Anolis sagrei: one gene and its partners. The protein of the gene in region 2 interacts with the protein of the main gene of each other region in a pairwise test. Links are inferred from orthologs where the notes say so. Each region holds a gene or a part of one and is shown on either strand. Other genes may lie near its edges.

Evidence for each region. The genes of interacting proteins can lie anywhere in the genome.
Region 1: the proteins of RBFOX2 (region 2) and ATXN1L interact in binary tests that used the Homo sapiens proteins (3 or more experiments, as listed by UniProt). The link is inferred for Anolis sagrei from reciprocal best matches to the Homo sapiens genes RBFOX2 and ATXN1L.
Region 3: the proteins of RBFOX2 (region 2) and QKI interact in binary tests that used the Homo sapiens proteins (3 or more experiments, as listed by UniProt). The link is inferred for Anolis sagrei from reciprocal best matches to the Homo sapiens genes RBFOX2 and QKI.

Annotation. Positions count from the first base shown.
Region 1 is NC_090028.1:29,558,565-29,566,023, reverse strand, and holds the start of ATXN1L (ataxin-1-like), read left to right. Parts: upstream 1-4,390; 5' UTR 4,391-4,639; intron 4,640-7,459. UniProt on the Homo sapiens protein: Chromatin-binding factor that repress Notch signaling in the absence of Notch intracellular domain by acting as a CBF1 corepressor. Binds to the HEY promoter and might assist, along with NCOR2, RBPJ-mediated repression.
Region 2 is NC_090025.1:166,833,344-166,841,060, forward strand, and holds the start of RBFOX2 (RNA binding protein fox-1 homolog 2), read left to right. Parts: upstream 1-4,706; 5' UTR 4,707-5,094; coding exon 5,095-5,295; intron 5,296-7,717. UniProt on the Homo sapiens protein: RNA-binding protein that regulates alternative splicing events by binding to 5'-UGCAUGU-3' elements. Prevents binding of U2AF2 to the 3'-splice site.
Region 3 is NC_090021.1:66,442,395-66,450,310, forward strand, and holds the start of QKI (KH domain-containing RNA-binding protein QKI), read right to left. Parts: upstream 3,070-7,916; 5' UTR 2,386-3,069; coding exon 2,244-2,385; intron 22-2,243; exon of another isoform or gene 7-21; coding exon of another isoform or gene 1-6. UniProt on the Homo sapiens protein: RNA reader protein, which recognizes and binds specific RNAs, thereby regulating RNA metabolic processes, such as pre-mRNA splicing, circular RNA (circRNA) formation, mRNA export, mRNA stability and/or translation.

The DNA.
Region 1 (7,459 bases), on a different chromosome or scaffold from region 2:
ACAGTCAGACTCCAGGGAGAGCCAGAGCAGGGGAAACCCACTGGGGGACCTTGAGCGAGTGACACCCTCTCAGTCTCAGAGGAAGGCAAAGACAATCCCTTCTCCCTCCAAAAGAACTTGAAGACCCACAACAAGCTACAGGTCTCTGCAATTCCATCTGGAAGCTTCCAAGGGTCCCCGTGTTATATGACTCTGAAAGAAGCTAGGGCTGTTGATGTCAGCTTCTGGAAATTGCACCTGGCTTGGTTTTGCTGGGAGCCTTTAACAAGTTCATTTTTTAAGCCAGCTTCACCATCCGGTCAGCAGCACAGGGACAAGCCTCTTTTGCCAATGGCCCAAGGAAGACCACTGCCTGCACTGTTGTTATTATTGTGGTTATCAGTATTATATCCAGCTTTCCCGTTTTAAGGGAGACTTATAGCGGCTATCAATGCTAAACACAACGTACAACTGAAACACGAAATTAACATGAAACATAGAGCTGCTAAAAATAAATAGGCAACACGATTCAAGCAATTACAACCTACTGATATACAGGCAGTCCAGAAGTTACTCCAGCCACACACACACACCTATTTATAATTTTAGAAGAAGAAGATCCCACCTCACTTTCTATCCCTGTGATCATTGGATTTTGAAAAAAAAAAAAAAAGGTTGCTTGTGGAATCAAGGATTGGAGACAAAGTTTCAGTGGAGCCCCCTTTTCCCCCTTATAATAACTCTACCAGGAGCAAATTTCCCTTCCTTCTGAGGGGGAAGATTCCTCTCACTTCCTGTTGTCTCTGCCTCATTTTTAACTAAAAGTTGTTTGTAAATTGGATGTTTATAACTTAGGGAATACCTGTATATGTGTGTGCATATATACATATATATCAGCAATGGACAAACTTCGGCCCTCCAGGTGTTATGGATGTTTGTAACTCAGGGACTACCTGTATGTGTGTGTGTGTACAGACATGGGTAAACTTTGGCTCTCTGGGTGTTTTGGACTTCAACTCCCACAATTCCTGACAGTGGCTGTTAGGAATTGTGGGAGTTGAAGTCCAAAACACCTGGAGGGCCAAAGTTTACCCATGCCTGACACACACACATATACATGGGAGATAGATACAGTATCACAATTTTGGAAGGGACACCAAAGGCCATCCAGTCTGACAATGACTCTTCCGAGAGTGGATTTCCCTTCCTTCCGAGAGGAAGATTCCTCTCACTTCCTGTTGTCTCAGCCCCGTTTTTAACTAGGAGTCATTTGTAAGTCAGATGTTTTAAACTCAGGGACTACCTGTAGGTGCATGTGTGTGATACACACATATGACAGATAGAACTAGTATCATAAATTTGGAAGGGACCCCTAAAGGCCACCCAGTCTTTCCCCCTGACGATGAATCTTCCGAGAGTGGATTTCCCTTCCTTCCGAGAGGAAGATTCCTCTCACTTCCTGTTGTCTCAGCCAGGTTTTTTTAACTAGGAGTCATTAGTAAGCCAGATGTTTGTAACTCAGGGACTACCATATGACAGATAGAACTAGTATCATAAATTTGGAAGGGACCTCCAAAGACCACCCAGTCTTTCCCCCTGATGATGACTCTTCCAGGAGAGGATTTTCCTTCCTTCCGAGAGGAAGATTCCTCTCACTTCCTGTTGTCTCAGCCTCGTTTTTAACTAGGAGTCATTTGTAAGTCAGATGTTTTAAACTCAGGGACTACCTGTAGGTGCATGTGTGTGATTTATGATAGAACTAGTATCATAAATTTAGAAGGGATCCCCAAAGACCACCCAGTATTTCCCCCTGATGATGACTCTTCCGAGAGTGGATTTCCCTTTCTTCCAATGGAAAGATTGCTCTCACATCTTGTTGTCTCAGTCGCGTTTTTAACGAGGAGTCATTTGTAAGTCGGATGTTTGTAACTCAGGGACTACCATATGACAGATAGAACTAGTACCATAAATTTGGAAGGGACCCCCAAAGGCCACCCAGTCTTTCCCCCTGACTCTTCCAAGAGTAAATTTCCCTTCTTTCCGAGGGGAAGATTGCTCTTGTTGTCTCAGCCAGGCTTTTAACTAGGAGTTATTTGTAAGTCGGATGTTTGCAACTCAGGGATTACCATATGACAGATAGAACTAGTATCATAAATTTGGAAGGGGCCCCCAAAGGCCACCCAGTCTTTCCCCCTGACAATGACTCTTCCGAGAGTGGATTTCCCTTCCTTCCGAGGGGAAGATTCCTCTCACTTCCTGTTGTCTCAGCCCTGTTTTGAACTAGGAGTCATTTGTAAGTCAGATGTTTGTAACTCAGGGACTACCATATGACAGATAGAACTAGTATCATAAATTTGGAAGGGACCCCCAGAGACCACCCAGTCTTTCCCCCTGACAATAACTCTTCCGGGAGTGGATTTCCCTTCCTTCCGAGGGGAAGATTGCTCTCACTTCTTGTTGTCTCAGCCAGGTTTTTAACTAGCAGTCATTTGTAAGTCAGATGTTTGCAACTCAGGGACTACCATATGACAGATAGAACTAGTATCATAAATTTGGAAGGGACCCCCAAAGACCACCCAGTCTTTCCCCCTGATGATGACTCTTCCGAGAGTGGATTTCCCTTCCGATTCCTCTCACTTCCTGTTGTCTCAGCCAGGTTTTTAACCAGGAGTCATTTAAGTCAGATGTTTGTAACTCAGGGATTACCATATGACAGATAGAACTAGTATCATAAATTTGGAAGGGACCCCCAAAGACCACCCAGTCTTCCCCCTGATGATGACTCTTCCGGGAGTGTATTTCCCTTCCTTCCGAGGGGAAGATTCCTCTCACTTCTTGTTGTCTCAGCCAGGTTTTTAACTAGGAGTCATTTGTAAGTCGGATGTTTGCAACTCTAGGACTACCATATGACAGATAGAACTAGTATCATAAATTTGGAAGGGACTCCCAAAGTCTTTCCCCCTGATGATTACTCTTCCGAGAGTGGATTTCCCTTCCTTCCGATTCCTCTCACTTCCTGTTGTCTCATCCAGATTTTTAACCAGGAGTCATTTAAGTCAGATGTTTGTAACTCAGGGACTACCATATGACAGATAGAACTAGTATTCTAAATTTGGAAGGGACCCCCAAAGACCACCCAGTCTTTCCCCCTGACAATGACTCTTCCGGGAGTGGATTTCCCTTCCTTCCGATTCCTCTCACTTCCTGTTGTCTCGGCCAGGTTTTTAACTAGGAGTCATTCGTGAGTCGGATGTTTGCAACTCTGGGACTACCATATGACAGATAGAACTAGTATCATAAATTTGGAAGGAACCCCCAAAGGCCACCCAGTCTTTCCCCCTGATGATGACTCTTCCGGGAGTGGATTTCCCTTCCTTCTGAGGGGAAGATTCCTTTTACTTCCTGTTGTCTCAGCCAGGTTTTGAACTAGGAGTCATTTGCAACTCTGGGACTACTATATGACAGATAGAACTAATATAATGGAGTGGGTTCCTCCCACTTCCTGTTGTCTGAGCTTCGTTTGACCTAGGACACGTTTGTAAGTCAGGTGTTTGCAACCCGGGGACGGCTTGTATATAAAAAATGACCAGGATTGGCTTTGACAGCTTTCTGCCTTCAAGAGGAAGGCCTTCTCAGCCAGGAGGGCGCGAGGGAGGGAAGACAGTGGAGGGGAGAAGAGTTCCCTGCAGCAAGGGACCTGACGGTGAGGCCCAACTCCGACCCGGCCAGGCAGGGCCGGGCAGGGCCCAGTGTTCCCCTCCCTCCCTTCCTTCCTTCCTGGCGGGTCCTCCCCTTCCTGCCTCCTCCGGGCCCCGGCTCCCTCCCCGGCTCCCTCGCTCACTCACCGGGCCGGGTCCCGGCGGCAAAGGCGGCGGCGGCAGCGGCGGTAGAACCAGCAGCCTGGCATCCAAAATGGCGGCGGCGCGGCCTCAGCACCGCTCCCGCAGGCGGAAGGATACCGTGCCGGATCTCACTCAGGCTCTCTCTCTACCTCTCTCTGGCCCGTCTTTCCTTCTTTCCTTACTCGTTCCCCTTCCGGAGAAGCCCCGCCGCGGCCTCCCTTCCTCCCCTTCCCTGACTAATAAGCGAGGCGTCCTCTAGCAGCAGATTACCGAGGGACTATTTCCCTCCGCGGAGGCATCCGGGGTGAAGGGTGAGAGGCCGTGCGTGGCAGGCACTGATGACGTCACGCGCTTGCCGAGTCACCGCTGCGCCTCTCCCTCCTTCCCTCTCTCCCTCCGCCCGTCAGTTCCTCCGAGAACGGCTTTGTGTCCCAAGGAGAAGGGCTCGGGGCCTCTTCTCAGGTCAAGGGGCGGAGCTGGAGTTCTTTGGTTCCCTCCTCGGCTCCCTCCCTCCCTCGCCATCGCTCCTATTGGGGCGGGGACGGCTTCCTCCGCCGTCGCCTTGGCAACCACCGACGCGTCATCACTAAAGGCCTGGCTATGCTCTCTTTCTCTACCCCGCGCGCTCTTGCGACGTCACGCCCGCGGCACTTCCGGCGCGCCGAGGAGAGGCCGAGGGCGGGCCCAGGCCCAAGAGGAGGAGGAGGAGGAGGCGGCGGGATGGAGGAGCCTGGCCGCGGTGGGGCCGAGCCAAGCGGGGGAGAAGGAGACGGAGGAGGCGGCGGCTCCGGGGGCGGACAAGAAGAGGAGGAAGGCGGGTGAGAGAGGGAGAAGGAGAGGGGAGGTCTGGGAGGGGAAAAAACCCCAGAAAATTGAGGGATTTGTTTTCGTTTACTTCCAAATAATAATAACAACAACTTTACTCTAGTCCTGTTCCGCCCTCAAATCTGCACATACCCACTTTTCTGGAAATAGGAAAATGGGTTTATATATCTGTGGAATGGCTGGGGTGGGGCAAAGAGCTCTTCTCTGCTAGGGCTAGGTGTGAATGTTTCAGCTGACCACCTTCATTAGCATTTGAAGGCCTGGCTGAGCCTGGGAAAACCTTTTGTTGAGAGGTGCTAAGATGTGCCTGGTTGTTTCCTCTCTGCTGTTTTGCTGTTGTAATTTTAGAGTTTTTTTAATACTGGTAACCAGATTTTGTTCATTTTCATGGTCTCCCTTTCTGTTGAAATTGATCACATGCTTGTGGATTTCAATGGCTTCTCTGTGTAGTCTGACATGGTGATTGTTGGTGTGGTCCAGCATTTCTGTGTACTCAAATAATATGCTGTGTCCAGGCTGGTTCATCAGGTGCTCTGCTATGGCTGACTTCTCTGGTTGAAGTAGTCTGCAGTGCCTTTCATGTTCCTTGATTTGTGTTTGGGCGCTGTGTTTGGTGCGTTTGTCCTAATTCCAACAGACCTCACTACCTCTGAGGATGCTTGCCATAAATGCAGGCGAAACGTCTAGAACATGGCCCTATAGCCCGAAAAACCCCACAAGAACCTAATAACTTTACTCTAGTTCTCTTCCGCCCTCAAATCTGCACATACCCACTTTTCTCCGCTATTGATTGTTTGTTGTTTGGTTATTATAATAATACAGTCCAGTCTCTGGGTTGTTCTAGGTTTTTTGGCTGTATGGCCATGTTCCAGAAGCATTTTTATTAATTATTATTATTAAACTTTATTTGTACCCCGCTAGCATCTCCCGAAGGACTCGATGCGGCTTACAAAGGCCAAGGCCTCAACATAACAACAACAGACAATAACGATGCAAGCAAATTAAAACATAAGCAATAACACAACAAAACATTACACTATTATACAATAAAATCAGGGCCAGGCCAATGAAGGGTTCAGGTTAAAAAAGGTGCTGGATGTGAGAGGTGGTATGTTGGAGTTCTGGGCAAGTGCAATGTGCAGAGAGTATTAAACTCTAGTAAAGTGCTTCTGGGACAAGGTGCTGGAGGTTATCCTATTCTGGAAAGGCACATCGGAATAGCCAGGTCTTCAAGTTCTTCCTAAAGACTGCCAACGTGGGTGCAAGTCTAATGTCTTTGGGGAGGGTGTTCCAAAGTCGGGGGGCAACCACAGAGAAGGCCTTGTCCCTCGACCCCACCAAACGCGCCTGCGACGCAGGTGGGATCGCGAGCAGGGCCTCTCCGGATGAACGAAGTGAGCGTGTGGGTTTGTAAGCGGAGATGCGGTCACGCAGGTAGGCGGGTCTCCTGACGTTTCGCCTGCATCTATGACAGCCATCCTCAGAGGAGCCCCCGGTGGCGCAGTGGGTTAAACCACAGGTCGCAGGTTCGAATCCAGAGAGAACGTGGATGAGCTCTCTCTATCAGCTCCAGCTCCTCATGCGAGAAGCCTCCCACAAGGATGGTAAAAAAAATCAAAACATCCAGGTGTCCCCTGGGCAATGTCCTTGTAAATGGTCAATTCTCTCACACCAGAAGCAACTTGCAGTTTCTCAAGTCACTTCTTACATGATAAAAAAAAATCCTCAGAGGTTGAGGGGTCTGTTGGAAACTAGGAAAAGTGTGTTTCTAAATCTGTGACACAGATAAGGAACTCCCAGTGGCACAGTGGGTTAAAGCGCTGAGCTTGTTGACCGAAAGGTTGCAGGATCGAATCCGGGGATTCGACAGCTTCTGCTGTCAGCCCCAGCTTCTGCCAACCTAACAGTTTGAAAACATGCAAATGTGAGGTGATCAATAGGTACCACTACAGCAGGAAGGTAACGGTGCTCCTTGCAGTCATGCCAGCCACATGACCTTGGAGGTGTCTACAGACAACGCCAGCCTTTCGACTTAGAAATGGAGATGGCCACCAACCCCCAGAGTCGGACACGCCTGGACTTACTGTCAAGAGAAAACCTTTACCTTTACTATATCTGTGATATTGAAACCCCAACCTTTCCAACTGGAATAGAAATAAACTTTGGTGGCCTTTCTTCAACCTGGTGAGAATTATTTGGGGAAAGGGAAAATCTTACTGGCTTTAATAGCTCACCAGGCATTTTGCGAATCCTCAGGACCCCTTGAAAGGATAGCAGTCTCAGACTCAGCAGCCTTCCCAAGGGGGATTTTTCTGCCTTCCGCTGGTCCCTGCTTGCTGCAGGACTCCCAATTTCTGCTCAGTTGGAGCCCCCAGTGGTGCAGTGGGTGTTAATGTTTCAATTGGCTACCTTGATTAGCATTTAATGGCCTAGTGGTTTTCAAGGTCTGGCTTCTTACTGCCTGGGGGAATCCTTTGTTGAGAGGCAATTAGTGTCCCTGATTGTTTCTTTTTTATTTTTGTTCTTTATTTACTATCCTGATTTTTTAAATACTGGTAGCCAGATTTTGTTCATTTTTATGGTTCCTCCTTTCTGTTGAAATTGATCACATGCTTGTGGATTTCAGTGGCTTCTCTGTGTAACTTGACATGGTAGTTGTTAAAGTGCTCAGCATTTCTGTGTTCTCAAATAATATACTATGTCCAGGTTGATTCATTAGGTGCTCTGCTATAGCTGACTTCTCTGGTTGAAATAGTCTGCAGTGCCTTTCATGTTCCTTTCCACAGATATAATACCCCAATTTCCCTAGTTTC
Region 2 (7,717 bases):
GAGTGTATAGGGATGTTTGTATGAGAGGGCGGGCCGACAGAGATCCTAGACTAAAGCCACGCAGGGCTTTTAAAGATAACAATCAAATATTTTTACCATTGCCATAAACTAACTTGACAGCCAACATAGTGATTTTAATACGTGTGATCGTGCCTTGATGTGCTCTCTTGTGTGTGGCTGCTTTGGGTCCCATATTAGAAATGCAGCATAAACATTTAAGTAAATAAATACCATGAACAGTGAAGAGACCAAACGCCAGTAGGAAAACTGAATAGAATCTGGGAAAGGATCCCTCCCCCCAAGTTCTGTTCCCGATTCCTCTGCTAATAAGACTAGTGAATCATGCACTAATTAGTGTTGTGTTCTATTGATGGCGTTTAAGTGGCTGATGTTCAATCAGCAGTCATTGGGCAACCAGCCAAATTAATATGGGGGAAGGGAACTGCATGGGATGAAGGACGCTGCAGAGGGTGCCAGTTTGCACCTGTGTTTATTGTCTTTTTGGAAGGGAGGTTGTCCTTCTGGGTATCGCACTGTTCAACATCCTGTCACCACTTAGGTTTATATATTTAGAGATAAAGGAAGATTAGCTTCTGCCAAAGAATGGAGGAGGGTCAGCTGCCAGTCATTAGGCATGAAAAGTCTTGCCTGCCTGACCTTGAAAGCTAAGCAGAGTCAGCCTGGCTTGTAATTGGATGGGAGATCACCAATGAATACCAAGTGATTTCTGCATTCTCTGGGCTTTACATGGATATGTGAAATTACTCAAATGAAGGACTTCTTGCCCAAGAAGTCATGTTGGAGAACATAGAAAATATTGGAGAGGACCTGATTTATCAGATGTGGATAAAAGGAACTATTTATTTATTATTATTTACAGCATTTATATTCCGCCCTTCTCACCCTGCAGGGGACTCAGGGCAGATCACAGTGCACATATACATGGCAAACATTCAATGCCATAGACACACAATATATAGACCAGGTGTCCTCAAACTATGGCTCGGGGGCAGGATACGGCCCTTCAAGGTCATTTACCCGGCCCTCGCTCAGGGTCAATCTAAGTCTGAAATGACTTGAAAGCACACAACAACAACAATCCTATCTCATCAGCCAAAAGCAGGCCCACACTTCACACTGAAATACTAATAAGTTTATATTTGTTTAAATTGTTCTTCATTTTAAGTATTGTATTGTTTCTAAGTGTTTTTTGCACTACAAATAAGATATGTGCAGTGTGCTTAGGAATTCATTCATTTTTTTTTCCAAATTATAATCCGGCCCTCTAACACTTTGAGGGACTGTGACCTGGCCTTCTGTTGAAAAAGTTTGAGGACCCCTGATATAGAGAAACACAGAGGCAATTTAAGCTTCATGAAGATATGCTCGAATTCTGGCCACCGGGGGAGCTGTCACTTTACGGTCCACTTGTAGCACCGAGTCCATGATGGAGTACTTCCTCATTCTTTCGCCCGCTGCTGGAGATTTTTATGGCATCGTAAATTAGTTAAATTAGCCTCCTCGCATAAGCAGTACTTAAATTTCCTACTTAAGAGGTGCAACTGTCTTTCAGGCTGCAAAGGTCAACAGCAAACTAGACAAATGGTCAGGAGCTTACTCCGACCTGGGCTGGCTTTGAACTCATGACCTTTCGGTCAGTGGTGATTTAATGCAGCTGGCTCCTAGCCAACTGCGCCACAACGTAACTCCTAGCCAATTGAGCCACTGCATATAAAACTAGATAAATATTAATCATCTAGATAAAATACAAAAAAATATACAATATACAGTGCACTCTTGGTATCTGCTGGGATTTGGTTCCAGCATTCCCCGCTCCCAATGGATACTGAAATGTGTAGACACTCACGTCCCTTGATATACATACAATGGTGTAGTAAAATGGTGTCCCTATATAAAACGACATCAAAGTCTGCCTTCGGGAATGTTTAAAAATATTTTAAACCTGCCTGTGATTACATTTATGGATGCAGGATCCATGGATACAATGTAAGATGGGTCCTGTTCTGTTCAACATCTTTATTAATGTCTTAGATCAGTAGTTCTCAACCTGGGGTCCCCAGGTGTTTTTGACCTACAACTCCCAGAAATCCAAGCTAGTTTACCAGTTGTTAGGATTCTGGGAGTTGTAGACCAAAAACATCTGGGGACCCCAGGTTGAGAGCCACTGTCTTAGATGAAGGGTCAGAAGGCATGATCATCAAGTTTGCAGATGACACCAAATTGGGAGAGATAGCCAATACCACAGAAGACAGGAGCAGAATTCAAAACGATCTTGACAGATCAGAGAGATGGGCCAAAACTAACAAAATGAAGTTCAACAGGGACAAATGCAAGATACTCCACTTAGGCAGAAAAAAAAATGAAATGCAAAGATACGGAATGGGGAATGCCCGGTTCAACAGGAGTATGTATGAAAAAGATCTTGGAGTCTCGTTGACAAGTTAAACGTGAGCCAGCAATGCCATGCAGCAGCTTAAAAAGCCAATGGGATTTTGGCCTGTATAAATAGAAGTTTAGTGTCTAGATCCAGGTAAGTTATGCTACCGCTCCATTTTGCCTTGGTCAGACCACACCTGGAATCACACTGTGTCCAATTCTTGGCACCGCAATTCAAGAGAGATATTGACAAGCTGGAATGTATCCAGAGGAGGGCGACTAAAATGATAAAAGGCCTGGAGAACAAACCCTATGAGGAGCGGCATAAAGAGCTGGGCATGTTTAGGCTGCAGAAGAGAACGTCAAGAGGAGACATGATGGCCATGTATAAATATATGAGAGGATGTCATAGGGAAGAGGGAGCAAGCTTGTCTTCTGCTACCCTGGAGACGAGGAGGTGGAGCAATGGCTTCAAACGACACAAAAGGAGATTCCACCTGCACATTAGGAAGAACTTCCTGACTGTGAGATTTGTTCAGCAGTGGAACTCTCTGCCCCAGAGTGTGGTGGAGGCTCCTTCTTTGGAGGCTTTTAAACAGAGGCTGGATGGCCATCTGCCAGGGATGCTTTGAATGTGAAGGGGGTGGACTGGCAATCAAAATATATTAAACTATAAAATATTAAAGTGATATTCCAAAAGCTTTTGCAATTGAGATCTAAAAATAACCGGCTGTTAGGAATTGTGGGAGTTGAAGTCCAAAACCCCTGGAGGGCCAAAGTTTGCCTTGTTAGGAATTGTGGGAGTTGAAGCACCACAACTGTTTGGTGTGGCTGAAAGCATTCTGGCAGAAAAAAAAACCATGGTGCCCAATTTAGACACATTGCTGGCACAATGCCTGGCAGCCAGATGACGCGCTTTCCTCCCTTCCCTCCGCCAGACTCAAACTAAGGAGAATAAACATTCCCTCCCTCCGTAGCCCCGCCCCTTCTCTCCTAAACTCTGCCATTCCCGAAGCTTTCCGAGTGAGAGAGTCTCTTTTTCGAGTGCTTTCCGGACATTGCCGAATGTCTTTTTTTTTCCCCCGAGCGCCGTCGGGACTTTCCGCCACAGGCCCCGAGCTGCTTCGGTGCTTCGGCGGGTGTCCTTTTCCCTCTCAGAGAAGCCTGGCTTAATTCTTTCCCTCCTTCGCGCCTGGGCCTCTAGTTCCCTCCCTCCGTGGCCCCGCCCCTTCTAGAGCAGTAGCCCCGCCCCTTCCTCCTCTACTCTCCCATCCCGAAGCTTGCCGAGTGAGAGGGACCCCTTTTTGAGTGCTTTCCGGACATTGCCGAAGGTCTTTTTTCCGAGCACTTTCCGCCACAGGCACCGCCCCTTCTAGGGCAGTAGCCCCGCCCCTATCCCCCGACGCCGCCATCCCGAAGCTTGCCAAGTGTGAGGGTCTCCTTTTTGAGTGCTTTCCGGACATTGCCGAAGGTCTTTTTTTCCGAGCGCCGTCGGCACTTTCCGCCACAGCCCCGAGCTGCTTCGGCGCTTTGGCAGACCTCCTTTTCCCCCTCAAAGAAAAACCTCACTCAGTTCTTTCCCTCAGCGACCTTCTTTCCCTCCCTCCGTAGCCCCGCCCCTTCTAGGGCAGTAGCCCCGCCCCTTTCCCCCCGACTTCGCCATTCCCGAGTGAGAGGGTCTCCTTTTCGAGTGCTTTCCGGAGATTACCGAGGGTCTTTTTTTCCCTCGAGTGCCGTCGGCACATTCCGCCACAGGCCCCGAACTGCTTCGCCACTTCGGCGGGCCACCTTTTCCCCCTCAAAGAAAAACCTCACTCAGTTCTTTCCCTCAGCGACCTTCTTTCCCTCCCTCCGTAGCCCCGCCCCTTCTAGGGCAGTAGCCCCGCCCCTTTCCCCCCGACTTCGCCATTCCCGAGTGAGAGGGTCTCCTTTTCGAGTGCTTTCCGGAGATTACCGAGGGTCTTTTTTTCCCTCGAGTGCCGTCGGCACATTCCGCCACAGGCCCCGAACTGCTTCGCCACTTCGGCGGGCCACCTTTTCCCCCTCAAAGAAAAACCTCACTCAGTTCTTTCCCTCAGCGACCTTCTTTCCCTCCCTCCGTTGCCCCGCCCCTTCTAGGGTAGTAGCCCCGCCCCCTTTCCCCCAACTCCGCCATCCCGAAGCTTTCTGAGAGGCTCTCCTTTTCGAGTGCTTTCCGGAAATTGCCGAGGGTCTTTTTTTTCCCCGAGCGCCGTCGGCACTTTCCGCCACAGGCTCCGAACTGCATCGGCGCTTTGGCGGGCCTCCTTTTCCCCCTCAAAGAGAAACCTCACTCAATTCTTTCCCGCCTGGGCCTTTCGTTCCCTCCCTCCGTAACCCCGCCCCTTGTAGGGCAGTAGCCCCGCCCCTTTCCCCCTGACTCCGCCATTCCCGAGTGAGAGGGTCTCCTTTTCGAGTGCTTTCCGGAGATTGCCGAGGGTCTTTTTTTTTCCCGAGCGCCCTCGGCACTTTCCGGCACAGGCCCCGAACTGCTTCGGCGCTTCGTCGGGTCTCCTTTTTTTCCCCCTAAGAGAGAAAGCAAGAGAGACAAGCCTCACTCAGTGCTTTCCCCTCAGCGAGCGACCTTCCTTCCTCCCTTCCTTCCCGCTTGGGCCTCCACCGGGAGAAGCCTTCCTTCCTCTCCTTGAGGGAAAGCGGGGCGGCCGGGCTCCGGCTCGGATGGCGGAAGGCATCCCGCACCAGCAGCTGGTGCTCGGCGGCGGCGTCCCCTCCTCCTCCTCCTCTTCCTCGGCCGCCCCTCGAGGGCTGAAGCGGGAGCCCGAGCTGGAGCAGCCGATGCCGGGCGGGGAGGGCGCCGAGGGCGGGCAGAGCAAGAGGCTGCGGACCGAGGCGGAGCCCGACGGCGGTGGCGGGATGCAGGTAGGAAACAGAGGCCCAAAAATCCCCTTCTTCTGAGGGAAAACGGATACTGCTATTGCTTCTGCTGTGAGTGGGCCTCAGAGGGCGCGAGGCCCAGCTCTCTCCTTCTGAGGTCTCTCTCTCAGTCTCATTCTGTCTTCACACCCTGGTAACACACCATGCCGCTTTTTTTTCTTTGTAGAAAATGGCGTGTCACCTACGTGTACACCGTCACGTGTGATCTTGGCACCCAGGCACGTCTCCTCATCACCCCTGTGTTGTTGTTTATGGTCGTGAGCTGCTACTTTGAGAGAGACACTGTTAAACAACGCTGTCAGTCTGATCGATGCCCTGAGCTGGACCTACACTGGCCTGCAATGCAGTTTCAGAAGGCATTGAACTGGATTTTGAGAGTCTACACTAGGCATGGGCCAACTTGGGTCCTTCAGGTGTTTTGGACTCCAACTCCCACCATTCCTCACAACCTCAGGCTGGATTTTGAGAGTCTACACTAGGCATGGGCCAACTTGGGTCCTCCATGTGTTTTGGACTCCAACTCCCACCATTCCTCACAGCCTCAGGCCCTTTCCTTTTCCCCCTCGGCCGCTTAAGCGGCCAAGGGGGAAAAGGAAGGTGCCTGAGGCTGTGAGGAATGGTGGGAGTTGGAGTCCAAAACATCTAGAGGGCCCAAGTTGGCCCATGCCTAGTCTACACTGCCGTATCATCACTCCAGTTCATCTGCATTGTGGAACTGCATCACAGGGCTGTGTAGATCGAGCCCTTGCATCTATCTTTATGTGCCTTTGACTCATCTATTGACTCAATGGTGGCAAATAGATCTCATAGTTGTCCACCCCATCCCCCCTACCAGCAGGGAATACTTAGAAGTGATTTTGTAAATTTCTTGACAGATATAATCTACGGCAGTGGTTCCCAACCTGTGGGTCCTGGGATATTTTGGCCTTCAACTCGCAGAAATCCCAACTGCTGGTAAACTGGCTGGGATTTCTGGGAGTTGTAGGCCAAAACATTTGGGGACCCACAGGTTGAGAACCACTGATCTACAGCATTGGTCATCTCTTCATTCATAGAATCATAGAGTTGGAAGAGACATTGTGGGCCGTCCAATCCAACCCTCTGCCAAGAAGCAGGAAAATTTTATTTATTTATTTCAAACATTTATACCCCGTCATTCTCTACTCCCAAGAGGGGAGTCAGGGCAGCTTACAATGACAGCAATCTGATGCCGGCAACATACAAAATATTACAATAAAACCATTAAATAATACATTAAACACATTACAATAAAACAAATAATACATTAAATACATTACAATAAAAACATTAAATAATACATTAAATTAAAAACCATTTAAAGATTATTATTAACCATATAGCCATATCCGAGTTTGATTCAGCGACCAACAGCCCAGTCCAGAGCCTCTCCATAGTCCAGTCTAAAAACATTGTAAAGCAGCATCTGCTTAAAAGTCTCCAAAAAAGGAACCTCCACCACACTCCAGGGCAGAGAGTTCCACTGCTCAACAGCTCTCACAGTTAGGAAGTTCTTCCTAATGTTAGGTTTCCTGTAGTTTGCAGCTGTTGTTCCACGTCCTAGTCTCCAGGGCAGAAGAAAACAAGCCTGCCCCATCCTCCCGATGGCTTCTCCTCACATATTTATACATGGTCCTCATGTTTCTTCACAGTCCCCAAGTTACAAACAACTGCTTTCCAAATGACTCCTAGTTAAGAACAGGGGTGAGACAACAGGAAGTGAGAGAAATCTACCTCTCAAGGGAAATCCACTCCTGGAAGAGTTGTCCTGGGGAAAAGGTGTCACAATTGAAACTTTAGTCCCACTCCTTGTTTCCTTGGGTTTTTTTTTTTCCAAAATTCAATTTTCACAGGGACAGAAAGTGAAGTTAAATCTTTTGAACAGGGGCACACACAGCAAAATAAACACCACAGGCTATCCAAAGCTTGCTTGTGTGTGTATGTATATATGTATTTATATTTATATATTTCTATCTATCTGGAGTTACACTTAAAAATGGACCTGTTCTGACTTACATACAAATTCATCTTAACAAACCTACAGAACCTAGTAGTAGTATCTTTAGGTTTGTAGTACTAATATCTTCTCATTTTAGGAAACTTCTCTACTGCAAAGTAGAGTATTCAAGTATCCTTTAAACAGGTTGAGCATCCATTGTTTGGAATTCCAAAATACCTCAAAGATGTCTCCATGGGTGGCTAAGGTAGTGACACCTTGGCTCTCTGATAGTTCAATGTACACAAGCTTTGTTTTGTACACAAAATCATTAAAAACATTGTGTATAATATTCAGGCTATGTTTATAAAGTGTCTGGGAAATATAGATGAATTCCGCGTTTACGCTTGGGTCTCATCTCCAAGATTATGCAGGTATATGCAAATACATGCA
Region 3 (7,916 bases), on a different chromosome or scaffold from region 2:
GTCCATGAGGTCACGAAGAGTCGGAGACAACTGAACGAATGAACAACAACATACTAAACAAAAACATAAAATTTCCAGGATGTTTTTAAAAAATTAAAAACAACTTTTAAGTAAGACCTCCAACGCCAATTGGCCAAAAAATGATCTTTCTTCTGCCCAAACTACTACTAGTAAAAAACAAAAAAACAAAAACAATATGTCACTTCATAGATTGTCAGTTCTTTGTAATAGAAAATGACTAATCCTGCCCATGATTTGGGAATGGAGAATTACACCAATTCCTATAATCACAAATATTTGTGAATATATAACTTTAGCCCTTAAACTCATTAAGTCCTAGCTCTTTAAAAGTTTTGGCATATTTCTTGGTTTTGGCTTAAAGGCTCACAATGCAATCCCTACACTGTTACAACTGTTTTCCAAAAAGAAAGAACTGGCGCCCCTTAGTGTTCAAATATTAAAACATTTACCTCATCCACTGAATTTGCATGGAACATTTTTTCAACATTCCAGAAAGTTTTCAGCATATGCAGTTCTTCCACCCAGGAGCCAAAATAAACAGGAAAAGCAAAAAAGATTTAAAGGGGCAGTTGAACTTTCCCTTCAGGCTACCAAGAAAAGAAGAGTGGAAGAAAAAAAATAAGGATGGAACAAAACCAGATATAACTGTTTTGCTAGATTAACTTCCAATCTTTGTTTTGGACTTTTGAAAATAATACAAGGCCTGTTCATTCAAAGACTTTCAGAGCTTCAGGGGCATTTTAAAGGAACAATGACCTCACACATTCCATTTAAAATAGCCCTTTGGTACAATAAACACACCACTCTTTTGATCTTGACAAAGTTGGTCAGTCTTCTTTCCCAAATCAAACCAATTGTTCAGGAACTTCAAAAATTCATTGTTCATGCCTGTGTTTAATCGATAAAAATTATGTTGTATTGCTTATTTTGTAATTCAGAAAGTATTCAAAAGAGTTCTTTCAAAGAGATCCCAACTAGTCAGTGTTATCCAAACAGAATGTGGTCTGGAAAAAAAATCAGTCAAGGGGCACCTCACAACTATTTGGTAAATATGTTTTCAGCGGAAATATGTCATGGGATCAGTCAAGTCTATGAAGAATTCTGTATAGAATTACTCTCTTCCAAAAAAAAAAATCTAAATACTCAGACTAGGATCAAAACTGAATGTACACAACCACCCACATCTACATGGTAAGACCAAAACTCAATGTGCACAACCTCCCACGTCTACATGATAAGTTCAGCCACAACGCCCTCAAACTGAGGTCTGAATTCCCAAAAAACGATTTGGATTGAAGACTTAAAACTCAACCTGGTCCAAGAGAACATAATCACCATGAAGTCTGGAGCTTCCATGTCCAACCTATTTAAACATAAAAAACTCCTGAAGCTTGTTAGTAGTACTCCACAAAAGTGGCCTCTTGCAACTAACTCCACAGGGTGGGAGGCAGGCGGTGGGGAATCGGATAGTTGGCTTGGGATGAGCAGTGAGGATTCAGCAACCTTTCTGCGTTAGCTTTTTGGCACCAGAAATCGAGAACTTTCGAGTGAAGAGGCTTCAGTGTAAAAACCGAATGGAGAAGTTGGGTCTGTTTACTCTCAAAAACTTCAACCACTTTTTAGTCCAAACTGCCCGGTAGGGACGAGAGCCGAGCCCTTTCCACTTCCTGCCACCCCCTTTTTCTCCCTTCCAAGCCAATCTGAAACCAAACAAACAAAGGACACCCCGAGATCCCTTTCTGGACGTTGCAAAACTCACTCGCTTAACCAACACTGCTGTAAATCACGCCACTCGGCCTACTACTACTACTACTACTTAGTTGCGTCCTATGTGGAGTCTCAAAACTCTCCCCAAACTATCTCTCCCCTCGGCCTTTTTATAAAAAGGGCTACCTTAAGTCTTTAAAACAAGAGAACCGCGCCGAAGGGCCGAAGAAAGCCTCGCCTTCACTCCCTCCCTCAAAGGCCAAAACTTCTCGCCGAGAGAGAGAGAGACTTCCCGCTTCGTCTCTTTGTTTACGGGGAAGGAGGCAAGGCCAAAAAAGAAAGAGAGCAAAGAGGACGCCATTGAAGGGGCCAAAAAGAGGAGACACATTTTTTTTCACCGTGTATCCTCAAGGCCTAAGTTTTGTTTTGATCCAAAATAAAGAAAAGAGCGTGGTTTAAATTCGTGTATTATGATTATTATGATTATTATTGTGGCGGTTGTTGTTTGTTTTTACCTTCGTCCAGCAGCCTCTCGAGGTGGTTGAATATCCCGCAGAAGTTGGGGAGGCTGCTCATGAGCTTCTTGTCGTTCATGAGCTGCATCAGGTAATCGGGGCTGGGCTTGGGCTTCTCCTTGGTTTCCATTTCCCCCACCATATTCCCAGCGCGGCCGGAGAGCGAGCCGGGCGCCCGCAAGCCACACTCGCACTCGCCAGGCGGGAGAGGCCTCTTCCCCCCTGGAAGAAAAAGGAGGCGGGAGGAGGAGGAGGGGGGAAGGAGGGAAGGGGAGGAGGAGGAGGAGGAGGGACCCGCGGCCAGGGAAAGCACGGCGGCGGCGGCGGCTGCTCCTGCTGCTGCTCCCGGCGAGGAAGAACCAGAACAAGGAGGCGACTCCGACACAAACGGCGACACCGCGGAGGGGGCTGGGCGACCGCCACCCAAGCCTGCTGCCGCCGCCTCCGCCTCCTCCTCCGCTTGGATAAGGATCCCCGGCCGCCGCTCCCGCCTTGGAAGCCTTTCCTCCTCGGTGTCGTGCCGCTTGCCCGCCTCACTCGCAGCAGCCGAGGCGCCCGCTCCTCCTCTTCCTCCTCCTCGGCGGCGGAGGCGGGCTTGTCTTCGCGAAGAGTCCCCGCCGCTGTTTGTAAGGCTGTTTGTAAGGCTGCTCCCGGCCACCGGCGCTGCTGCTGCCGCTGCTGCTCCTTCTTCCGCCGCTGTTGCTGCTGGTGTGGTTCTGCTTGTGCCGCCGCCTGCCTGCCTGCCTGCCTTCCCTCCCTCCCCTCCCTCCTCCCCTCTTCCCCTCTTCCCCTCCCTCCCTCCTCCTCCCCTCCGCTGGTGCCGTTTGCTGGTCGCTGGCGAGCCTCAGCCTTTCCGACCACTGCCACTGCCGCCGCCGCCTCCTTCTTCGTCTTGTTCCTCCTCCTCCTCCTTCAGTTCGCTGTGGAGTTCGCTTCAGTTCAGGCTGCGCTGCTGGCGGCGAGGGGAGGAGGAAAAGGAGGAGGAGGAGGGGGGGGAGCGCCGCCGAGGAGCAGGGGCGGGGCGGCCGTTAATCAGCCCTTGGCGGCGGCCCTTGGCGGACTCGGAGCCCTCGACTCCGCCCCGCCCCTACGGGGGGGGGGGAAGGAAAAAGACTTGGGGGCTCTCTCTGGCGCCGCCGAGAACGGGAAAGCGCTTCACTTGTGAGGAGAACCACGACAAGAAGGTGGTGGTGGCGACGGCGGCGGTGGTTCTTCTCCGCGCACGCGCACCAGGACAGCACACAGAAATTTCCTTTTTTCACATATATATCTATCTACGCTTGTGGTGGGTGTTAAGGAGCCGGATGGGCGGGCGCGCGCACACATATCCGAAAAGAACGTTGGTTTGAAAAAAGAAAAAAAAAGGGCTCGTGCCGCTATACCTCGGATATAGTACTACTCGCTACGACGCGCGAGACGGCGCCTGTTGATACGCGCCTGCGCGAGGGCGCGCGAAGGAATGAACATTTCCCCCCCACCACCACGTTCCTCTATCTCCCCCCCCCCGCAACGTCCTCGCGCGTGCCTCCCTCCCTTCCCCATTTTTATTTATTTATTTAGAAACTCCTCCGTTAACACACATACACACAAAAAAACTTCAACCAATCTTGCGTTTAAGGCGGGACCGCGTCACGTGTTGCCAAGCTCCTGAAAAAAAAGGGAGGAGGGAGGAAAAAGGAAAGAGTCCTAATCGTAGATCGTTTTTGGTTTTTTTACTATTAAAGCGCATGCGCTCAATAAAGTCTGTTGGCTTGGCTTTTTTTTTTTAGACGGGGGGCGCGCGCCTGCCTGCTTGCCTGCCCGCCCGCGCGCCTCCAACGGTCTCGCGCCCTTCCTCCTCTTGGAGGTGTCGGAGGAAAGGAATGGGAGGGGCGGGGCCGAAGCTCGCGCACGAGCGCCTGCGCAGTAGGTAGGGAGAAAGGCACGTTCAAGAGGGGGGGAGGGGGGTTTGCCTGGCGGAGGAGTCAGTCGGTTCTGTTCCTGGAAGGAAGGAAGGTGCTCTCGCCTCGCCTTCGGTCTTCCCTTCCGCTTCTGAGGGGAAGCCCCGACAAGTACCGCCGCCCGCCACGCGTTTCCCCTTCTTGGGCTCCCTTCCTCGCCTCACCACTCGACCCAGGCCCGCTCTCTCTTCCCTTCCGTTTGCTTAACGCTCTGAGGAGGAAGGGAGGGCGAGGAAAGCCGCGGCTGGCAAGGCGAGGAGGAGGCTTCGGCTGCCATTCTGGAGTCAACCCCGCCGAATACATCGAACGGAACTTCCTCGGGAGTAAAGGGGATTCCTCAACTCCTTGTGGTTCCCTCCTACGACACAAGCGCATCAGGGCAGGCAGATGTAGAAACCAGGAGCCAGATTTATGCCTTCGTTCACACGAAGCCTGATTCTGCACTGTGGAATGAGTGCACTTTGACACCACTTTACCGCCATGGGATCGTGGAGGGTTGTAGTTTTGGCAAGGCCTTGGCCCCGCCAAACAGTGTCGGCGCCTCACCGAACTACAACTCCCACGATTCCATAGCAGTGAACCCCGGCAGTTTAAAGTGGTATCAAGTTGGGTTATTGTGTATTTTTCTGGCTATGTGGCCATGTTCCAGAAGCATTCTCTCCTGACCTTTCGCCTGCATCTATGGCAGGTATCCTCACAGGTTGTCCTTAAATATTTATTTATTTATTTCGGGGGACTCAGGGCGGCTTACAAACAGGCACAATTTGATGCCTACACAATAATACAATAAACGTATAAAAACAGCAGTTAAACGGTTAAACAATTAAAACAACAATATATGTCACAGTCAATAGCCAATCTCAACCAACTCAGATTCCATACTTCGTTCCACATTGTCTGTTCCTATCCGCCGTCGCAGTCCTTTATTTATCTGCCAGAGTGCCCAAACGCCTGGTCCCACATCCATGTTTTTAATTTCTTTCTAAAGGAAAGGAGGGATGTCGCTGATCTAATTTCCTCGGGGAGTGAATTCCATAAGTGAGGGGCCACCACTGAGAAGACCCTGCTCCTCGTCCCCGCCAATCTCACTTGTGACAGGCGGAGCTGAGAACAGGGCCTCCCCAGAGGATCTCAAACTCCGAGGTGGGACATAGAGGGAGATGCGTTCGGACAGATACGCTGGGCCGGAACTGTATAGGGTTTTGTAGGTCAAAACCAGCACTTTGAATTGTGCTCGGAACTGGATCGGCAGCCAGTGGAGCTGACACAACAGGGGGGTGGTATGCTCCCTGTATGATGCTCCAGTGAGCAATCTGGCTGCCTCCTGCTGGACTAATTGAAGTTTCCGAACAGTCTTCAAAGGCAACCCCACATAGAGTGCATTGCAGTAATCTATCTGGGATGTAACAAGAGCATGGACCACCCTGGACATTCCACAGATATATAAACCCCACTTGCGAAGTTCCCAACATCCGTCATAACCTCTGAGGATACCTGCCATAAATGTGGGAAAAACATCAGGAAATAATGCTTCTGGAACATGGCCATACAGCCCAGAAAACTCACAACAACTCACAGTGATTCTGGCCATGAAAGCCTTCCACAATACATGGTGTCAGATTGTACTCACTCTGCAGTGTAGATGCACCCTGTGTGCGCGCCTTCAAGTCTCATCCACTTAGGGCAGTGGTTCTCAACCTGTAGGTCCTCAGATGTTTTGGCTTACAACGTCAAGAAATCCCAGCCAGTTTACCAGCTGTTAGGATTTCTGGGAGTTGAAGGCCAAAACATCTGAGGACCACTTAGGGAGACCACATACTTCAGAGGGGTGTCAAGCATGAAGGACCCGGGGTTGCTTTCCCAGTCTCTTGCTCTCTCAAACATAGTATTTGCTGGTGGCCTTCCATCCAAGTATGAGCCAGGGTTGATTTTGCTTAACTCCCAAGGCCACATCCTCTTCTATCTGGTGCCTTTACGGCAGGCATAGGCAAACTTGGGCCCTCCAGGTGTTTGGGTCTTGAACTTCCACCATTCATAACAGCCTCAGGCCCTTTCCTTTCCCTCCTGAGCTGCTTAAGCGGCTGAGGAGGAAAAGGGAAGGGCTTGCAACTATTAGGAATGGCGGGGGTTCAAAACTCCTGGAAGGAGGGCCCAAGTTTGGCCATGCCTGTTTTAGGGTGCTTAGCATGTATCTTTGCTGTAGAATTAATGCGATTCAATGCCCCTTGAACTTTGAAAGAGTCATGGGAGTTGCAGTTTTAGCCTTCTCTGCTAGAGTGCTTGTGCCTCAGAAAACTACAATTCTTCTGCCCCCATATTGAGCCATGGCAAATAAAGTGGGGTCAAAGTGTGTTAATCCTGCAGTGCAGCCTCAGGGCTGGATCTACACTGCCATATAATGTAGATTCAGAAAGCAGATTAAATCCATTCAATGGTATTGTATGAATCTATACTCCAGTATAATCTAGTTCAATGAAACTGCATTATATGGTGGTGTAGATCCAGCCCCGGGATCCCAGCAGGTCGCCCCTCTCTTGCCACATCATCTTCTATCTGGTGATATATATATATAATATGGAACCTCCAGTGGCGCAGTGGGTTAAACTGCTAAATTTGCTGTCCGAAAGGTTGGTGGCTAGAATCCTGGGAGTGGGATGAGCTCCTGCTGTTAGCTCCAGCTTCTACCAACCTAGCAGTTCGAAAACATGCAAATTTGAGTAGATCAGTAAGTACTGCTTTGGCGGATAGGTAATGGCGCTCCATGTAGTCATGCCGGCCACATGACCTTGGAGATGTCTATGGATAACGCCAGCTCTTTGGCTTAGAAATGGAGATGAGCACCATCCCCATAGTCGAACTCGACTAGACTTAATGTCAAGGGGAAACCTTTCCCTTTATACACACACATTATCACAATGAGCTGATCCTCAAACTGTCAGGATCCTAGGACTGTTGTGCTGCTTTTGCTCGTTTTAGCCCCCATCCCTCCTTTCTTCATCTCTGCCTGCATCCTTCTCTCTCTCTCTCTCCCTCCCCCTTGAATTCTTCCTTTGTCTTTCTTTCCGGCGCTTAAAAGCCCAGCGACAGCATCAGTGCCGGGGGTTCACTTTCAAATATGCTCTTGTTTGCACTATATCTGAGCTAGGAAAAACAGAAAATCTGTTCCGCCTTTCTTTGCCTTTTTTTTTTGTTTTGTTTTGTCAGAGGGGGATGCTTGGTCGCTGCAGAAACATGCGAAGCGGATTGCACTTGGCTGGCCCGACTCATTTCCTTTTCCCGTCATTGTGGAAATGTGTTATCTCTACCCAGATTTTGCTTCCCACGGTGCCTCCGACTGTCTTGGCCATGTGTTGTTTGAGGGAGGGCACTTCATATTCAGTTTACTCCCCTTGTTAGAAATTGTTTCGCAGCCGCCTGCACACACTATTCCTTTTTTTTTCTTTTTCTTTTACCCTTCAGAACTTCTCTAAGTCTCTCACAAAGGCTAGGCTCAAGTACTCGTTTTGGGGGAAAGGACCTCTTTGCTTGATAAGATTTTGCAGACCCATTTGATCAGGAGCCCGTTGTGCTTTCAGGGGTCCCTACTCATGGGGAAAGCTCTCAGGCTGGAGTCCTACTTGACAAACCTACTGAAATGGATGAGTAAATCAAATTAACATCAATATGAGCAAAGCTCTTATCTGCTTCTGCGGTTCTCTGTTTTTTGATAAATGAATATTGACAATGCTACTTT